Arabidopsis thaliana: one gene and its partners. The main gene of each other region encodes a partner of the protein of the gene in region 3 in a complex. Each region holds a gene or a part of one and is shown on either strand. Other genes may lie near its edges. The genes, in order: AT1G61470, AT5G10960, AT3G58580 and AT5G11350.

What was found.
Region 1: AT3G58580 (region 3) and AT1G61470 share a complex: the UniProt entries of both Arabidopsis thaliana proteins name them as parts of the CCR4-NOT complex.
Region 2: AT3G58580 (region 3) and AT5G10960 share a complex: the UniProt entries of both Arabidopsis thaliana proteins name them as parts of the CCR4-NOT complex.
Region 4: AT3G58580 (region 3) and AT5G11350 share a complex: the UniProt entries of both Arabidopsis thaliana proteins name them as parts of the CCR4-NOT complex.

What each region holds. Positions count from the first base shown.
Region 1 is NC_003070.9:22,676,286-22,679,846, reverse strand, and holds AT1G61470 (Polynucleotidyl transferase, ribonuclease H-like superfamily protein), read right to left. Parts: upstream 1,756-3,561; 5' UTR 1,663-1,755; coding exon 826-1,662; 3' UTR 545-825; downstream 1-544. Other genes in the region: AT1G61475 (ATP binding / protein kinase), read left to right, coding at 1-77; AT1G61460 (G-type lectin S-receptor-like Serine/Threonine-kinase), read left to right, coding at 2,659-3,302, 3,399-3,561. UniProt on the Arabidopsis thaliana protein: Ubiquitous transcription factor required for a diverse set of processes. It is a component of the CCR4 complex involved in the control of gene expression.
Region 2 is NC_003076.8:3,462,448-3,466,829, reverse strand, and holds AT5G10960 (Polynucleotidyl transferase, ribonuclease H-like superfamily protein), read right to left. Parts: upstream 2,733-4,382; 5' UTR 2,467-2,732; intron 2,353-2,466; 5' UTR 2,250-2,352; coding exon 1,416-2,249; 3' UTR 516-1,415; downstream 1-515. UniProt on the Arabidopsis thaliana protein: Ubiquitous transcription factor required for a diverse set of processes. It is a component of the CCR4 complex involved in the control of gene expression.
Region 3 is NC_003074.8:21,660,075-21,666,007, forward strand, and holds AT3G58580 (DNAse I-like superfamily protein), read right to left. Parts: upstream 4,022-5,933; 5' UTR 3,624-4,021; coding exon 3,466-3,623; intron 3,272-3,465; coding exon 2,524-3,271; intron 2,432-2,523; coding exon 2,345-2,431; intron 2,264-2,344; coding exon 2,180-2,263; intron 2,104-2,179; coding exon 2,017-2,103; intron 1,920-2,016; coding exon 1,833-1,919; intron 1,724-1,832; coding exon 1,670-1,723; intron 1,575-1,669; coding exon 1,483-1,574; intron 1,388-1,482; coding exon 1,273-1,387; intron 1,187-1,272; coding exon 1,036-1,186; intron 941-1,035; coding exon 792-940; 3' UTR 524-791; downstream 1-523. Other genes in the region: AT3G58570 (P-loop containing nucleoside triphosphate hydrolases superfamily protein), read left to right, coding at 1-278. UniProt on the Arabidopsis thaliana protein: Acts as a catalytic component of the CCR4-NOT core complex, which in the nucleus seems to be a general transcription factor, and in the cytoplasm the major mRNA deadenylase involved in mRNA turnover.
Region 4 is NC_003076.8:3,619,552-3,625,949, reverse strand, and holds AT5G11350 (DNAse I-like superfamily protein), read right to left. Parts: upstream 4,432-6,398; 5' UTR 4,368-4,431; coding exon 4,266-4,367; intron 4,183-4,265; coding exon 3,741-4,182; exon of another isoform or gene 3,734-3,740; coding exon of another isoform or gene 3,673-3,733; coding exon 3,506-3,672; intron 3,358-3,505; coding exon 3,292-3,357; intron 3,158-3,291; coding exon 3,105-3,157; intron 3,032-3,104; coding exon 2,950-3,031; intron 2,873-2,949; coding exon 2,823-2,872; intron 2,669-2,822; coding exon 2,587-2,668; intron 2,374-2,586; coding exon 2,281-2,373; intron 2,195-2,280; coding exon 2,162-2,194; intron 2,076-2,161; coding exon 1,987-2,075; intron 1,845-1,986; coding exon 1,082-1,844; intron 989-1,081; coding exon 903-988; coding exon of another isoform or gene 896-902; intron 788-895; coding exon 703-787; coding exon of another isoform or gene 676-702; intron 613-675; coding exon 538-612; downstream 1-537. Other genes in the region: AT5G11360 (Interleukin-1 receptor-associated kinase 4 protein), read left to right, coding at 1-114; AT5G11340 (Acyl-CoA N-acyltransferases (NAT) superfamily protein), read right to left, coding at 4,882-5,099, 5,438-5,560. UniProt on the Arabidopsis thaliana protein: Acts as a catalytic component of the CCR4-NOT core complex, which in the nucleus seems to be a general transcription factor, and in the cytoplasm the major mRNA deadenylase involved in mRNA turnover.

The DNA of each region.
Region 1 (3,561 bases), on a different chromosome or scaffold from region 3:
CGGTAGTTGATGAATCACCGTCTAAGAGGTTGATCACTGTCAATGAGATGACCCATTCTATGATCCTAGGGCGGTAAGAGATTATGTGATGAAACCTGTAGAGTGAATGTGTGTTTGATTGTTCACGAAAGGAATCAGTTTTCGAATGTATATAACTTAACCTTTCATGCTTTTTGTAAAAGATTTTTCACTTAAGTAAATAGAGAAAATTACTATAGATGAGCTTCCAATTTGGTTGACCAATGATTTACTATAGAGTTTGCATTTCCAGTTGTTCTCCAGCAGAATTGTCTAATCTTGTGAGGAGCTTATCTGCAGAGCCAAATGAGCTCATAATTTTGGGTTTCCATTGGTTAGATACTATCATATCCTCATAGTATAAAAGTAGAATTAGTCAATGCCTTAAATCTAAATAAGGGAGCCATGATTGAATTTGCACGTATTAAAAGTGAAGAAGAAACTCAAGTCCACAGGAGAAAAGTGTGACACTCCAACCAAAACAACTCATAATTGGTACTAACAAAATATTTCACATAGATTCCAAATTTTGATTAGTGTATAGCGAAAAAGGAAAAAACTGGGCTTGTTACATATCTTCAGCTCAATTCGGAGGAAACTGATAGATAGTAATTCCAAGACAAAGATGTTACATGAGAGGCTTTTGAGTAGATTCTAACTTTAGATTCATTAAAGTATTTACTAAAGAGCAATAGTCATAATATTGAGAGAATTGTTTTGATGGACAATAAAAGCTGAAAGTTAAATCCTAAGCATATAAAGAAAGAATTTGCATACTAGCAACAAGACATGCTAAACATTGAGGGATCACAATACGTAGTTCCTTCCTTGGACCGGTATCGGGATGTAACATCTAGTCATCATAAGCTGTTGCTGATGCTGCTGCTGCTCTAGTTGATATTGCTGATCATCAGCTCTTCTTCCAGTACTCTCCTTTCTACTATTGACCAAATCGAAAATCAACTTAGTGAAGACACGAGCCGTCAATTCGCTGTCTGATCCAGCGTGATGAGCTTTTCCAACACGCCTCATCTGCAACACATCCGCTATTCTCTGTAGTCCGAAACGGCTACTTAGTCCGCTGCATAATCCAGCCATTTTCTTCACATCATAAACAAACCTTCCCAAAAGCTGCTGGACGGTTTCATCAAACTCTTTCGAAGTCTCGGGTAATGGTTTTCTAGTTAAACCTTTAAGTAGATAAGCTTTGTCGTAAGAGCCTTGAAAAGTCACCCATCTCATTTTTCCATGTTTCTCATTGAGAATCTGAGAAAACTCCATGAAGAACTCTTCGATTCCAATACCTTCTTCTCTGATCTTATCCAGATCCAAACCATTGTTTTTTAAAAACGCTATAGATTTATCATTTTTCAAGCTCTTAGATTCGTTGAAATCTGACAAGTTGATCTCCCAGGTTTTAGTGATTCCTTTGCCGAATAGCGTTAACCCTAACTGGATGAGATGGGTGTTGTCCACATTGAATTTCATGTCTCTATAACGAATTTCATCACTTGCGTCCATGGGAGTCTCCTTTAAGCATCCGGGAAACTCTGTGTCGATAGCGATGGAATTACAATGTTTCAAACAATCTCTTATCGAATTCATCTCTGCTTGCTTGTTCCATCTCCAAACTTCACCGCTCATCTCGAACGAAACTAAGAAACTGTTTGTTTATCTGAAAGAGAAAGTGAGATAACAAATGAATTTTATTTGGTTGGCGTTATATTATTAGAGAATTTATAGGGATTAGATTAAGACACCGACTTCAGTTTCCTTATTTTTAGGATACTATAAAGTTTTCATTTTTTTTCCATCAAAAGTTCGTGTTGACTTTTTTGACTCCTAATTCTTGTTAAACACGAGTTTTCAATTTTTCTCTTAAAATTCAAAAACAAAAAAACGCGTGGTTCCGAAGCGGTTTTCAATTTTTAACACTAAACCGAATTAAATTCCTTGCCCGAACCGAATTAAATTCTAATTTCTCTCTCAAAACTCAAAAGCCTTGTTTCCGAAGCGGTTTACGATTTCAACGCTAAACCGAATTAAATTCCTATTACAAATTAAAGTCTAATTTTCCATCCCGAAATACACGAAATTGACAAAAGACTTTATTTTAAGTCTTCCCGGAAGGTTCTTCTCTGGGTTAGTGGCTTGACGACACAAGTCAAGCAACCTGTCATACACTGACACAAGTCAATCTTGACTGTTGAATTATTCGGCTGCTTTTGGATAGTGACAGTTAAGCCCATATGGTTGGAGTACGAATCAATCGATTGGGGTCATTAAGGTCTTCAAGACATCACCGAAGCTCTGACTTTTTGTTATGCACTGCAAGTGTTCGAGGAAATGCCTAAACGAGATAATTCATAGTCTGCAGTTCAAGAAAAATATAGGTTCTTCTGGGCCTAACAAGCTAGTAAGGACTGGAACAATGAAAACGTTGCGTATCTGATACGGTAATGACTTCTTCGTGCCAATGTATCTATCATGTATTTATTAAATAATGCATATTTTTGGAAAATAAGTAAAGTAGTTCTGACAAGACACAGTGTTTTTTTTTTCCCCGGCTCTCTTGCTTCATACACACTAATCCAAAAAAGATAGTTATTGGAGAAAGAAAAAAACAAACAAACGGGGACGATGAGGATCACGTTCTTTGCTTCTTTGCTCTTATTTACCAATACCATCTTTATAAGTTTTAGCTTTGCAATTGCAGGGATAAACAAAGAGAGTCCTTTGTCAATAGGACAAACTCTCAGCTCCTCTAATGGAGTTTATGAATTGGGTTTCTTCAGTTTTAATAACTCGGAAAATCATTATCTTGGAATCTGGTTCAAGGGAATCATTCCCCGGGTGGTTGTGTGGGTGGCCAATAGAGAAAATCCTGTTACAGATTCCACAGCAAATCTCGCTATCAGCAGCAACGCAAGTCTTCTGTTATATAATGGAAAACATGGCGTTGCATGGTCCAGTGGTGAAACTCTTGCTTCTAACGGGTCTCGTGCAGAGCTTTCAGACACCGGAAATCTTATTGTCATAGACAATTTTTCGGGAAGAACTCTTTGGCAAAGCTTTGACCATCTTGGTGATACTATGCTTCCTTTCTCAGCTCTGATGTATAACCTCGCCACTGGCGAGAAGCAGGTCTTGACTTCTTGGAAAAGTTACACTAATCCAGCGGTTGGTGACTTTGTGCTTCAGATTACAACGCAAGTGCCAACACAAGCTTTAACTATGAGAGGCTCGAAGCCTTATTGGAGAAGCGGTCCATGGGCTAAAACAAGGTTCACGGGGGTACCACTAATGGATGATTCATTTACAAATCCATTAAGCCTTTAGCAAGATGCAAACGGGTCAGGATCCCTTACTTATTTAAACAGAAACTTCAAACTTCCACGTATAGTGATAACATCGAAGGGTTCACTGGAGATTTCTAGGCATAGTGGGACTGATTGGGTATTGAACTTTGTGGCTCCAGCGCACTCATGTGATTATTACGGTGTATGTGGACCTTTTGGGATTTGTGTCAAGTCAGTGTGTAAA
Region 2 (4,382 bases), on a different chromosome or scaffold from region 3:
ATATGTATATAAATAATTTTGATGCTATTTCGTCCGCACTGTGTTACACATTTTTATTTAAATATGTAACGTTTTTTTGGTTACCTAAAGCAAAGCAATAGCCAATAGTGGTCATTTGATAATAACTAAACCCTAAAACAACAAACATGCCCAAATCAGAATCCCAATTCAACCTTGGTAAAAACGTTCTCCCACCTCTGATCAAAGCCCACACAACAAAGGCCCAAATCAGAATCCCAATTCCCAACACACAAACACACGTGAAGAGACTCAGAGAAGCCGTTAAAGACAGGACTAGCAAGTACACTGTTTCTTCTGTAATAAGAAGTAGATTTGATTCTCTGCCACACCTACATAATAGTGACTCGGACTTTTGCCGTATTGCTGTTGTTTTCTTCTTTTTACTTTATTTCTCGTGTCGTGTTGCTATTGGATCATATGTTTTCGATCATCAAACAAGTTCGTGTAATGAAATATTTAAGGTTTTGAGAAACTTAGATTTAATTATCTTGATGGAAACTGAGTTCATACACAAATCCACATTTTGACATAATACTTCCAACAGGCTGATACTTTTTTTTTTTTCTTCGGCAATTGAATGAGCTACGACGTCTCAATCAGTCAAATCTCGTAATCTTCTGTACCACTTGCGACTCAGATGACGTCTGAATACTTGCCCAACAAAACATTGATTGCATTAGAATGCTACTCATTGACAATATGATAATAAATTGGCTATTGAGGTGATTGGCGAATGCAACAGCATACATATGTGATTCTCCTCCACATTAACCATGACATGATACCACTTACATCATAAACACCTAAATAACAAATCTATACATCAATCGATTACCATAGCTCTGTTTTTTAAACAATGTAACACATATAACCTCTAGCATAAGCAGTTCATTGTTCTCCTTATCAACTTGTATCAACGAAGAGGGAAAGAAGAACACAGGAAGATTCAACATTCTCTTAAGCATAAAACTTACCAGTTTGCATCTTCAAACTGGTATGGTTACAAAGAATTACACAGTAACTGCAAGCTGAGACATGCAAACGCTACTACAAGAAGCCACTGTCAAGTTACATTGGTCACTAGTAAGAAGAAAACACACACAAAAAGAAAAGAGAAGAAAAATTAAAATTGGAGATTATTTATTAAATAAACGGGTAGCTGAATTGATATACATTCAGAAACTCAAGCTAAAACAAAAACCCCTCAAATTTTGATCACAAGGGGTTTTCCTGAAAACAAAGCAACAAAGACACAACAAGTCACTTACTAACACCAATTTGCCAATTTACACAACGACGATTCTATTTTGGTCTTCTCACACTCACAAAGACTAAAGAAATATATCTAATCGCACTTCCCTGGAATTTTCAAAGTATCTTTCATTCCTTTCTTCTTAATTAGCAACAGTAGTAGTAGTACCATCTTCCACACCTAGACCATACAAGACTCCAGTGTATTTCTCAGTTGATCCCGGGAAATAACGTTCCTTGAGCTTCCTAAACGACCCTAAGGTGAGCAAGCTATCCGACCCAGCTTGATGACAAATCCCAACTCTCTCCACTCCCATAAGCTCCGCAAGTCTGTTCAATCCACCAAACAGTCCGTTGCAGAACGTCATCAAGTGCTTGATATCGTAAACCGTAGGGAAATACACATACAGAAGCTTGAAGAAATCAGCTTGCTTGAGAGGCAATTCCTTACAAGTCAACAACTTAACCAAATACCCGAAATCATATCCACCATGGAACGTAACCCACGAGATAGCATCGTTCAAAACAATCCCAGACGACATCATAAGCTCACCAAACCTAACCACATCAATACCTTTCTCAATGTTCTTCTTGAAATCAATCCCACACTGACGCAACAGCTCAATAGACTCACTCGCGTAGATATCCTCACCGATGTTGAACTCACGGAAATTGAATTGCCAGATGCAGAACTTATCCGTCCCACAAGTCGGAAGATTCCCATTCTCATCAGAAAAAGTTAACCCAACTTGAATCAATTTCAACAAATCGACATTTTCCTTGAGAGTCCTGTAGTTAAGATCGTTATTGTACTTGAAAGTAGCAACAGGCTTCAAAACCACACCTGGAAACTCAGTATCCATAGCGATATAGCTGAATTTGTCAACAATCTCACGGATCAACGCGAATTCTTCAACCAAATTGTAATCCCAAACCTCTCGAATCATAATCGAATCTTCTTTCAAAGTCTCCGCCATTTCTAGATATACAACAAACCCAGATCTGAAAACAAAGCATACGTCGGAACTCGGAAATACTGCGAAACTCGTATCGGTAGATCTGTAAACGAAACCTTCCGATCTGAGGAAGAGGCAACAACACCAGGAAAATCAGAAATCGATGTAACAAAAAGCAAACCCTAGCTGTGAAACGAAAATCGAAATGAAACGGAGAGACATGAAAGTATGAAATTACCAGAGGTTTCGCAATACAGATGTAAGAAAAGGAACAGATCTAGCAGATTCGAAGAGAGATCTGTGCGTCTGCGAGAGAGAAATTATCGGGTCAACCAGAGAGAGAGGTTTCAAGTGGTATGGCTTTGGAGAAGATGAAGTGATAAATAAAGACAAGTGTGAGCCTTGAAACGAAGCCGTTTTGTTTGACGATGAAAAGCTTATACGACGACGTTTTGCCGTGCGTCTTCTTACATCAATCATTACGTTTTGGCCAGTTACCAATTATTTTATCCGTATTGTCCGTTTTCTAATTATTTTAATGATGCGAATTGTGTGATATGATGACCAATTTTTATTTATGTGTATCACGGAAATTCCGTTCGTTTGTAACTTCCATGATCTTTTTTTTTTCTTTTGCTTTGTAGACCTACCTCCATTATTCTTAAATTTTATGTATTTTATAGCATTTGGTACTAGAGTTAAATTGTTATACCTTATTATGACGATCGAACTTTATAGTTATAGGAAAAGTTGTATAAACTAAACTGCATTTTGATTTTTGTACAAGTCTAAATTTATATGGTTAAGAAACAGATTGTGCTAATAAACAATCAAAATTATTTATTTTTGCTATGGAGCTAGTCAGCTAGATGATTTGAAGAACCTTAAAACTTCTTTTTCTTACAATTTTAACTCAGTTTTATATCATTTGGTAATAATATTCCTACGGATTGTCTCGCAATTTTATATCACATTTTAATAATTTCTGTACTGATTATCTCACAAAATTGAAAGAATATCAATTTTTTTTTTTGTCGAAAATTTGAAAGAACATAATATTTGATTATTTTCCAGGTAAACTCTTTTATTTCTGTTTTTTTTTCTTCTATGTAAACTCTTCAATTTCGGATTTGTTTCCTATGTAGTTCTGCCAATTAATTGAAAATATGGTATCTTGTTTTTTTTCAACTCAAAAAAAGGATTTTAGATTTATGTTATCTTGTTATTAAGAAGGATTTGTTAGCATAATTGTTAAACAAAACAAAGTAATTTTAATTATAATAGAATTGACTTTGGGATTTCTACCTTACAAGTTACAAGTGGCCAATATTAATGCAATCATACAACGAATGGGAAGACGTTTGATAGAGATACATGCATCACTTGTTACAATCATCTTCGTTCATGAATAGAATCATTTTAGATTTATTTATTTTAGAAAAAAACTTTCAAGTTTCACCAGCGTAATCAGTTTTTCTTCTTAAAATTATTACATGAAAAGATTCTCCAACTCAAACGAGGACCAAAGTTCTTTTTTTTTTTACAAAAAAAGACAACTATTAGGAAGAAAGGGGATAAAGGAATTTTAATTCTAATTATTATTACGGAGTCAAGGCATCATCGTGCTTCCCACTTACCCTCAAGCATAATCCATTGTTTTGTAATAATTAATTCGTTTTTATATAAACTAATGTATTAGCTTGTTTTATATCAAATAATTGTGTACCTTTTTCTATAAATTAAAAAAAATAAACAAGTAATGTCAAGTCACGAAATATTAGATGGTGGTTTCATCATCCGACCATTTTTAGGAAATTTCTTCTGGAATCCAACACATACCAAACATGAAAGTTTCTGCATAATTGTTCTTATATATATAACAAAATTTACTTAATTGTTACCCTCCAAAAATATGTCTCACCGTGTAATTGCTTGCTCATCTAAAATCTAAATAGAATTCTATATTTAAAATCAAAATCGAAAAAAACGAAAATAGAAACTAAAATTGAAATTTTTGTTACTTAAATTAGAAAGAATTATTTAAACAGTTGCATGTATTTAACGTAGATAAATTCTTTAATATCACGTGCACATATAATTTAGATTAGGTAAATCATCTAGTACCAAATATTTGTTTAATTTTATGGGTTTTGG
Region 3 (5,933 bases):
GGTTTGGTGGTCGTGACTTCAGGAGAGAATCTTTTAGTCGAGGCGGTGGTGGTGCTGACTACTATGGTGGAGGTGGTGGATATGGAGGCGTTCCTGGTGGTGGCTATGGAGCAATGCCTGGTGGGTACGGACCCGTACCAGGTGGTGGATATGGAAATGTTCCGGGTGGTGGTTATGCACCTTATGGTAGAGGTGGTGGTGCTTACTATGGTCCTGGAGGATATGGAACCGTTCCTAACCAAGGGTATGGTCCTGGAGTGGCTAGTGCGTGGGACTAAGCTTTAACTTCAATTCTTCAAGAACCGATTATGTTCTCTTTCTCTCTCACTTATCTCTATTGTTTATTATTAGGGAGCAGCCACAGATGTGTATGTTTGCTCTTTAAATGGTTATGTAGTAGACACGAATCGTCTCTTTGTTCAATGTGAAAAAAGAAAACCCCCTAGTAGACCCATATTATTCTCATGAGCTATTTAGTCATACAAAGCAGTTCAAACATTAAAATTGATCCAAGGAAAAGAAAAGTCAAAGGGTTTTCACTATATTGAGGATCAAAATGAGATATAAAAGGAGGTTTAGACAGAGCCACACAGGGGTCATAATAAAGAATGACCAACTTCATAGAGTGGTTTGCCTTACTCAGAATCCCTTTGAATCTTTGTGTCATCTCTATCACAGATTTGGTAAAGGTTTCGTCTAAACAGTTGATGTCATAGTCTGATCAAAGAAGAAGATCGGAACAAAAAAAAAAAACCTATCTGTAAGCAAATGATGGTGGGTGGTGAAGGCGGTTAACCGCGTCTTGTCCTAGGCGTGCATCGAAATTCAGCTAAGAGAGCAATGTGATTAGAAGACCATTCTGGGGAAGGAAGAGCTGTGTCTTTTCTTAATCCATCTTCATCCAGTAATTCCAATAGAGATTCCACCATTAATGTATCCGCTGAAACCCAAACACAAAAAAATCTTCCAATTAAGTTAACTTGTTATTTCTGATGTAGTTGAAAACAAGGACAATGGAGTTAAAAATGGTGAAACCTGTGTAGAATATGTAGTCATGAGTGCCGATGAAGTCCCTTGTACAATTGGTAAACAAAGGCTCGTTTGTATTAAGATCTATTCTCCTTCTGTGTTGTTCCAATCCAAGACCCATTATTCCCTTTCTCACAAACGATGAGTACGCGCTCACCTGAAACCAATTCATTTATCAAATATCCAAGAGAGACGCAAAGATAAGCGGTATAAATTTACTTAAATCGAAAAAAGCAATGTTACCAGAGGCAATTGATGAGTCAATTTGGTGTGAGGACGCAGGATATTAAGGGGATCGACTGCCAGATCTGGGTGCATTGGATCAACCTTTCCCATTACAAGAAGTGTATGAGGTGCACTGTCATAAAAATGCCAAAAAGAAAAACTTTAGCTACTCATAAGAGAATTCTGCATTTCATGTATCATGTCAAAAGAATTTATGAATCAACAAACCTCCCAGGAAGCGTATTGAAGTCTCCACACACAAGCATAGGAATATCGGCACTAGCTGCTATTTTCTCTAGTCCCTTTAATAAGGTATGAACCTAAACGCAAAAGAATAAAAGAAAACATGAGGTGAATACTAATTCTTTCGAGTTCAATGAAATTTGATTTATTTCGGATATAGAGATACACCAACCTGCCAGAGCTTCACATCCTTCAGATCTTGTTGAACATTTACATGTGTGTTTGCCTAAACAAGTTGCCACAACAAAATAAGAAAATTCATTGGCTTTCACTAAAAGAGCATATACAGAAACTAACAGTTCTCATGAGAATGGAAAAAAAAAAAGAACCAGTACCACACAAATAAGCTGGCGCTTCCCAGAAGGATCAGTAGGTTGATTACCAAATTTGGCTTCAAGAACAACTATCAACGCAATGTTATCCTACAACATAAGAATCATTGGTTTCAGTTTTGTAAACAATAACTCTCTGATAATCAGCTGTGGCCCAGAAAAATATTGTATACCATGTCAAAAATACCTTAACCAGTCGGTTTAAAGCAGTTCTCTTCTGAGCCTGAGGGATTAGAGCGTCAGTCAAAGACTGAGCAGCCTTGTTGAATTCAACCTGGATTTACAGTCCATGAATTAGTATAGAGATCTTACTGGATCTAGCAAGTAAACATATAGAACTGAATACAAACATCATATTTCTTGACATGCGAAAACCTATCCCGCCGGAAAAATGTTGCACAGCCGTCAATGGCACTTGTACTTCCGCTGAGAACCTAGCAACAAGAAATTTGTGGTTAATAGATTTTAAAACATAAATCACTGAAGGAAGGAGTGTGTGGAATCATTGACCAAACCTCATTAGTCTTCCTCTTGTAAAGAGCTTGATACCCATGCTTATCCAACTCAGGAGCAAAAATTTCATGGAAATGATCACTTTGTACCTGCCAGATAACAAAAAAAAGAACACATTAGAAGTAGATTTTTCAGAATTAAAATGCTTTAAATCATTACCAAGTCCATACGAATAACATACTTCTTGCAGGCAAACTACATCGGCTCTATATCCAACAATCTCCCTTAACAAATTCTGTCTTCGGTATGGCCATGAAAGAGCCCAAGGAGGACAGTAACTGTAGAGGTCGCTACTTGCAGAAGTATCAGACAAAATGTTATATGAAAGAACAGTGAATGATCCTGCAGACTGAATCCGAGCATCTTGATCTAAGTGACCCATCCCATCAGCTCCGTTAACAGGGATTAGCTTACGGGGGCTTGGAGAAGGAGCAGGAATAACCCGTGAAGTCAAAATGGTACTAGGATGTCCGACAATCTGTTTAGTCTCAGCATTAGCCACAACACACTCGAACTTCAAAACGTGGCTAATATCATCAGCTGTTGGAGTGTACGTTTTGCAACCCCCAACCTCAACTAAAGTCTCTCCTCCATTTTTCTGAGTAATATTAGAAGGATAAAACGGAGCTGGACCATTGTTGGCAATACTAAGATTTGACATAGACCCAGATAAGGAACCAGCGAGAGACCCAGAACCCGCACTGTTATTCCTGTTCAAGTCATCATCCTCGTTTGCGTTGTTTTCCGCAGCTGCTCGCTCGTGCAAAGTCCTGTGATGCTGCCACGCATCCGTGAAGCATTTTGGCGAACAGTGATAGCTTTTTGGAACAAGGGATCTACGCTTAGAACAGAAAACACACTGTAAAGTAGCTTGTTCCGTTGGATGCACACTGCAAATCGTTACTTTCTTATCACTCTGTACACGATACCTACAACAAATAAATCCAAAAAATGAATCTACAACAAGATCAGAACTTTACACACAAAAACCATTTGACGACCTAAATCAGAACATCTACATGAGAAATCTCTGAATTCAGATCAAAATTCAATCTTTGATAAACCCCAATTCGCCAAATGATCCAAGAAAGCAATTAGACAAAGAGCCAATCAGAAATCTAACCATCTGTATCTCAAGAAGTAGCCTTCAAGAGGAGCAGATTCAGGGACGTCATCAGTGGTGGAGTTCTTATCGGGACGACGAACAAGGACGTAAGGAGTCAATTCACAGCCCACAATGGGAATTTCAGAAGGAAGATGCACTCGGATCACGCTCAGCATTGCTTTTCAATAACACCTGGTGATTGTCGAAGAACACTATCGAAGCAGCAGCAGCAGAGATTCAGAATCGAAGCAAGACCTTGATGATGATTATTAGATGATGAATATTGTCGTTGATAACCTAATGAAGTGGAGCGTACGATAGGCTGATCCACCATTTACTTGAACCGAAAACCCGACCAATCTCTAGAAACCCTAGAAAATGTCTTCTTCAGACAAGGTTGAAGATCCGGCAGAACCAAATTAGAATCGAAGAAAAGAAAAAAAGAAAGGAAAATGATGGTATCGAGAAAGCTTATAAGAGATGTGAGATCTTGAAGGAATTTTGTATTAAGGATCGATTCTTTCGCTGTGAATATGGAAAAAATCAATGAAATCGATTTTGGTTTTTTTATGTGTTTTTTTTCCCCGAGTGGGTTTAATACTAAAACTATTATTTTGTGCTTTGAAGACATTATTATGAAATTTTATAATATTTTAATTGATCTTCCTTTTCGATGAAAATTTTGGTTTTGGCGCTCAAAGATTGAAAGTTTTTCGTTTTATTTTTGTTTATATAAAGATAAAATTTTAAAATCTAGAAAATGCGTAAAAACAAATAATCCACAACTAAACATGACTTACCAAAGACAAATCAAGATTTATGACTCGTACCATTACGAAAACAAGATTGGTGACTTAAAAGAAGTGTATTTATATCTATGATAGATTGAAGAAAGAAGGAATGGTGAAGATGAGTCAATAGGTGAGTGTTCAACGCACATTCAGTAGGAGCCAGGAGGTGTAGTTTCTTCGTTAAGATTAAGAGACAAGAAATATCAATTCGTGATATAATTATCTTGAAGACGATTTGTTGCAGATTAAGGTAGAATTAACTTCTTCTTCTTTTTTGTTTTTTTTTTAAAATGTGAGAATTACCCAAGAAGAGCAGCATAGTTTATCAATTCAATTGATCTTCTTAAGAATTGTTGAATTTGTCAAATTAATGAAAGAATCACATTTTAACATTGTCAAAATTGTCATGTTCATTTTCGCTTTTGTTTTCGTTTTAGCTAGTTCATTTGGTTTTCATAAATATAAGCGGTTCAAACCTGAAATAATTAAGGTTCGAATTATGAAAATTTTGTTGGTTTTTAATAAATTTAGGTAGACTAAATTTCATTCTTTTCAGGTTTACTCAATTTTAAAGTATAGAAATTTAAGATTTATATCTAACTTTTGTTGTATTTGATATGAAAAGTTATCGGTTTGTATTTTACCGAATTTAGATAACTATTTACAAATTATTATTTTGAACTAATTATAGAAAACAAATACAATGCGTGTCCAGTAAATCAAAGTTGAGAGATTTCTTTCTCGTTTTTAAGCATTCAACACAATTTTTTCTATTTGTTATTTCGGAGGCCTGAGTCCACATTTTATATGAAGCATAACATGGAAAATAATAATAATTATTATTTTTCGAAAGCGATCTTTTCCAAACAAAGAAGCCTCAAACACTATATACGCTACAAAATAACATCTCGACCTTGTAACAAAGAATGCATTAGATATTTTTTTTTTTAATCAAAATTGTTGAGATGAGCAAAAGCACAGAACGTATTCAACTTTTCAAAAGGGTTGTGGCAGCTGAATATTATTTGTTCTATGATGGTAACTAACAATTTGTTTATTTTTTGTTCTTTATAGTGAAATCTTTTGATTTGATTTTTCTTTTTGTTGTTGTTAGTTTTGTTGGAAGCCGTCAAAGACATACAAAAATTGAAAGTTGATCTAACGATAGAAGAGAAGAAATGCTTAGAAATGGTAAATGAGAATCTATTTAACGAGACAGTAAAGATACTAAAACCGCTCGAAGATATGGGTATGAGGTCTGAAGAAACAATCATTATAGATGATAATCAAAAGATGATTAAAGAGTATTTGGAGGACACCTTCATAGTTTGTCATAAAATATGTAAGGAGATTCAAAAGTTGGGTATTTGCCCTTTGTGAGTTAAGTACTCTTATCGTCCTTTTTCTCTAGAGATTTGGAGGGTTTTTCAATATGAATTAGATATGTAAACCAATATTATTCAAACATGAGGTATAATCTAAAAAATGTGAAAGGAAAGATGGAAGGGATGAGGAGAGCAACCTTTTTTATTAATGATAAAATTTCATTGGAAATGATAAACAAATTAAATTATGGAATAAAAATAAAATTATTCAAAAAAAAAAAGTTGAGTTGATTTTGGTTCATTTAGAAAACCATAATATTAATTCGATTTTCTTTTGTTAAATATGGGCCAATTTGAAAGATCTTATTTG
Region 4 (6,398 bases), on a different chromosome or scaffold from region 3:
GCCACAAAGATTGTCACACTCATCCAAAGATGCACCAATCGGGACAAGAAGAAACGACCATTGATGCAAGAAGTTTTGGATGCTCTGAATTATATTGCAGGGATTAGGTCCTAATGTGAGATGTCCTTATATTGGACACAGGGACATGGATAAATGCTAGGTGTTTATTTGTAATAATTGAAAGAGTCAGTCTAGACTAAAGCTGAAAGAGTTAGGGGTTAACAATTGAAGCTATTTAAAATCAAGAAGCATGCTTTAAACTTTTATAGCAGATTTTCTGAAATCGAGTGTCGCCCAAAAAGAAAAACTCAAATATAATTTGTCACTGTAAAATATGATAGAGAAAAATACAAAACTAGAGCCTATGAGATTCTGTAAAAGTTTACTCTTAGATGTTTTGCTGGGATATAAAATAAGCTATTGGCGACCTTCAGAGCACAAACATTGCAACAAGGATGTGCTTTGAACCCAAGACCTCAACCATCTAATCTCTTTACACTTTCTTAGATTTCTAATGAACTCACCACCAGTTTAATATCAGCTTTTGGGCAGAGTTTTGCTGCTGCAGAAGGCCAACTCTGAAACCAGTGCAATGTGATCGCTTCCCCATTTCTGTAACAAACCAGAAATACAAACATAAAAAAGTTTTGTAAACAATTCAGTTAAAAAGGTAGGCTATATAAGAATATCATGGGATTTTACAGGAGTCGGGAAGCCTGGAGTCCACTGCATTGCTTGCTTTGGTATTGGAGCAAGCACACGCACTGTTTGAAGACCTTCCGACCGCCTAACCCAAACCAGAAATCAAACATGAGAATATGTCAAAACGCGCATAATTTACAATAATGAAGTAATCTAATTTTAAGGTTTGTCACAAATGGTTTTGCTTCTAATGCTAATACCATATGTAGTCAACTGTCCCCATGAAACATCTGTGATAACTGGTCACTACAGGTTCTCCGTTTTCATCCCTTGTGTTTGCTTGACCCTAACCACAAATTTCAACAGCTTCCTAAGGATATAATTTCTCAAGAAACAGAAGATAAAAGGGAAAAACTGTAGGGAGGATATATTACAATACCTCCACTTCTGAGTATGTGCTTTTAAGCTCCAGAGCATGTTCAACCGTAGTTCTCTCTGGGTCACCAGTTGCAGTTGCTATCTCCATTGGAGTCCAAGAGGATGGACTATAAGTGATTTTGTCACTATTTAAAGCTTCAGAACTCCATTTAAGTGGAACTTCACTCACAAGTTCCCCTTTTTGACTCAAGTTTTCATTGTTATCGTGTAGCTTAGCCAAAAAGGTTTCCCCATCTTCACCTAAACTTTCTTCATCTTGCGCGAATACTACTGGTTCGTCCAATTTTAAGCCATCTAGTTTCATTTCAGCCACAAAAGTGTCAACCTTGGTGGAGAGACTAGATGAAATATCTTGATCACTGGAACATATTTCCTCAGGAGTTTGCTCTGTTTCTGATAAACCGGAACTTACAGAACGATCTGTATTCAAATCTTCTCTAGCACTGGAAGCATGTTGAGGTTCTGTATCTGATATGGTTAGTGAAGAAAGATCTTCAGCTGTCGAGAGATTCCCGGAATCATCAGGTTTTCTGTTTTCTATTCCAAACTGACAATCTGAGGCCATATTCTCGCATGGTAATACTTGGTCAGAGCTGGAGGTGGCTTCGTGACCAGCAAGAATTGTATCACCACATGGAAGCTCAGATGTCTTCTCGGAGGGGGCCGTTCCAACATCTATGTTGGAGTTATTCTCCATATGAGCATTTGTGATCAAATTTGGTGGTTGAACTTGACCTTGTGGAGATTTGTTGGCGGACTGATACCTGGAAAATTGAGGAGGCCTATCAACCATGCTGACAATTGCAAAAGCAGAGTAGAACCCGATATTCTAGGGTAGACATGGAGGTGTTAAGTTGCATAACCATATACTTAATGATGTCGAAGAACTTGGTGAGTTTGCTCTACCTCGTTGTATAATTTTCTGGCCTTGGTGGACGAAACTCAGCAGAAACTTGCCCCGAAACTTTGTCTCTGGCCAAACCAGACAAATCCAACTGCAGAGAGCAGCACAAGACACAATGTGAACCATATATATAATGTTGCGAATAGGTGAAGGACTTTCCTAACAATGAAGCTTTACCTTCCGGTCTGAAATAAAGTTGTACAAAGGACTCTGCAACCAGGTGGAAGAATGTTATGACCATGTCACAAAACAAGTTTTTTGGGGTATACAAACTGGTTAAGGTAAGATTGTCCTACCTTTGGTGTACAATTGAAATCCCCACAAAGAACAATAGGCGCATCATCCCAGAGTTTTGAAACAGCATGAGCTTTATCTAAGAGTGTTCTGACCTACGTAACAGAGATAAATACATAGATGATAAATGGAAACAGTTAAAGAAACCAAGTTAAGCAAGGGGCGAAGCGTTTGGTTTCAAAAGTTTTATCTCAAACACCTAACACTTATACATGTTCATAGCGTATAGACAGAGTTAAACCAGAGAGTAAAACTGTCGTTTGGCAAAAGATTTCTACAAACTAGAATATGGCATTAAAGGAAAGTACCTGACCAAGTTTAAAGTCTCCTCTTTTAGGATTAAAAAGCACGTGAATGTTACAAATGACAACTCGATGGGAACCAGCAGAGCTGTAAAAGAAATTGGTAATTCACTTCAACCCACCCACAAAGTATAGTCCATACAGAAAACCACTGAAATCTGAAGAAAATCGGCCACTTCCTAGTGAAATTATCCACCCATAAAATGATATGATAGTAACATTTACAGATACTTTTAAGTTACCTTTCAGGTGGAGGGGTCTCATTTTCTTTTGTATGTGAAGTCAACAATGTCTACACAGAGCAAATTTAATTTAGGGCAAAGAGGCAAATGTATATAAGTCACTATCAACATAAGGTATCCATATTACCTCAAGCACACATATTTGAGCAACGTTATCTCGGAGACCAAGTTGATTGAACTGGATGCTTTCCTCGTGAACCAACTTGAATCTAATATGATAACAATGAAATCCTAAACAAGATTCCAGACTGATCCACACAAGGAAGAGCAAGGGAATCAAACCTATTGGATCGCCAAAATATTGCACATCCGTCAACAGCATTACCAGTCCGCATCTACAGTTTTATAAAATAGAGTTAACCCCACATTTGAAGCCTAGTTCTTATGATGCATACCATTTAATCTTTACTCCAAGAGAGTCCGTAGAGAATACAAACTCAAGACAACTAAAAGTTTTCAACAAACCTACCTTCCAAATAGCACTATATCCCCGGTGCTTCATCTCCTCCTCTAAGTCCTGAAATTTATCAACTTCCTGACATATACAAAATAATTTTAGATTACTATACATATGGAAGATACATTCTGTATACATATGATAAAAAAATAGTAAAGCAAGAAAGTTTTGTCTCCTTAGTCCCTCATACAAGCAATTACCAAGAAGATATAGCAGAAACTATAACCTGAAGGCACATTATATCTGCAGACCATAGGCTAAGCTCGAACACTAATTTGCTCTTTCTCCATCCCCAACTCAACATATTCCTCGGTATGTGAAAGTAAAGACTTCTCCAGTGATCATTTGCAAGGTAATCCGCCAATATATTATACGATAAAACAACAAACTTTTCTGTAGACAAGAGAAAGCAAATCAAAAATTGTATACCGGAGCAAATGAGATGGTCACGCATAAATTACCGGAGCCAGGAGACGGTGGCGTTTTGGCATATTCCCATTCACGGTAATCTGAAGGTTTTGACCGTGGCCGTTGACGAAAGCTCTGCTGTGGAGGCGGCCGGGACATCTGGTTTTGATAGAACGGAGGGGGAGGGCAAGCCGCGTAGTTTTGATTAGACGGAAACTGATTAGGTTGACGGAATTGTTGCCACTGACCTCGTGACGGCGGCGGAGGTCGAAATTCGTAATTCTGATTGAACGGTGGTTGCTGCCGCTGATCAAGCGGAGGCTGATGTTGTCGATAAGGTTCACCATGCCGGAATCGGAAATTGGCGTCATGAACTGATTGAAAATGAGAATCTCCAGTAACGAACTGATCTCTTCCCGCGTCATCATTGTACGGACGATCGGAGAAACTTCTCCCACCTCGGCCTCGTCCTCGTCCTCGGGCACCTCTGTACTGCTTCGTAAGAAACAAATTATATTCCAGTAACCGAAGCAACGCAGCGGGAGTGATAGAACAAGAGAATAGCTGAGAAAATTTACCGGAGCACGAGTAGACATGGTGAAGATTGGAGCAGAGATAGTGGAGGCGTCAGCGAAGGTAACGTCGGAGAAAACTTGAGCAACAAAACGAGAACGCCGCATTGGTCAATCGAATTGAGTGAGGAAGCTCGAGGAACCGGTGCTTAATTGCAGACACCGATGAACGGAGACTCATAAGACGTGCCGTTTTTTGATTCAAGAAGAACACATCTTCCAGTCTTCACTGTGAATAAATGGCACGCAAGCCAAAACGCAAGTCATAAATTCTTCATTTTTTTCTTTACTTTATTCTACAGCTCATAACAAGAATCATTGTCTCTCTTTACTCAAATTCATAGACCAACATTTACAAACACGATGATACTTGGTAGTAAAGCTTTGAGTTGCAAAGTTAAAAACTTTTCCAAACGAAAATGTCCAAAGCCAAGAGGACATTAGAGAAATCATGCAAGTATATAACCAGGAATTTATAAATTTAGAATCAGTAAGAAAAATTAAGGTCAACAAAACAAGCAAAACTCGGAAACCGAAGGATCATCATAACATTAATAGATCTTGAACTGAATGCAACAAAGAAACTGGGGAGGAATGGCTTCCCCAAGTTTGGTATTTTTCATCATTTGTTGGCTTCAGATTGAGCAAAGGACTTGCTGACAACGTAGCAATCTCTTGGCTCAATGTTGATGTAATAGTTTTGTATGGTATCTGTGATCTCAAAGCCGAACTTCTTGTAGAACTTGATTGCGTCTTCGTTGTTTGTCTGCACATGCAAGTATATCTCACACATGTTTTGCTTGGAGCACATGTCAAGAACATGATTCAATAGATTTGAGCCTGCAAAAGACGAAAAAAACAAGATACACAAATTATAGACATCGAGTTTTTCTTTCTAAAGCAGGGAATTCGATCTTAAATCTTGATATAGGAGGAATCATAATTCCAGTTTCTCGGTAAAACAACGATATGCATAAAACCCTAAGGACTATTTCTTGGTGGTTTGAATCTCTAAATGGAGACACTTCAAATAGAGAACTACAGAATAAACATACTACAGCTGGCCTCATGTGTTAAAACGTAAGGAAAACAACAGAATTACACAACATGCTAACAGTTTTCTTCATTATTCATGTTTTGTCGGTATTCAAGTTTTGCACAGCAGATTTATGACTTACCAATGCCAATCCCACGGTAGGGTGCAAGAACACCAAGCGTCATTATATAAACTCGCATGGCCCCACTTTCTTTCTTCTCCAGCCGACAGGCGATAGCTCCAACACATATGTCATTGTAATATGCTGAGAGGAAGTCAATCCATTATTAGAACATGAAGAATTTTCCTTGATCACAAATTAGAGAAAATATATGTAACACCAAGAACATAACTACCCAAGCAACTGCAATGAAATAGTTAGTACCAAATTTAAGACGTTGTTAACAGTCTTTAGACTTTCATAATCACATCTTATTGTACATTTAAAGAACTAGTTGACGCAAAAGATGTTCCAACCAAGGGTTTCACAAAAGTGAGCTTGAAAAAATTCTGTGAATACGAAAATTAGTCTTGGACCATGTTCTCGAAAGATAATATAAGTCAATCAGCGATAGATTACAAGGTACACATGCTTAACATACAAAAAATTTTGCTTGGTTGAACAAAAGAATGCAGTATTCATATAGTCAAACAACTTAAAACAACGATCAAGATGATACTTTGTCAACATCAATGTCATCAACCACAAAGTTCAAACATGAATCGGTAATTACGAAACAACAGACAATAGAAAGCAAACAAAATCGATCCATTCAAGGCTTAGAAAGAAGGCTTCTACCAATATTACCGATAAAATCATCTTCTTCCTAGTATCAGACACTAGTACTGAACCTAAATAAAACATGGCTCAGTCAAATAAATTCACGGAACCGAACAAAAGAGAAGACACAGATAATCACACCTATTACAATGACCAGTGAACCAACTAAACAAACAACCAAAGGAAAGCAGGATTGCAAAAGGTACTTTCTTTGTAGAGTATACCAAGCCTAATCACAGAACAGTTCATCATAAACCCCCCAAAGCAAACTTTTCCTATTAAAGGAACAAACTCGACTACTAATGCTCGCTCAGGTAAAAAG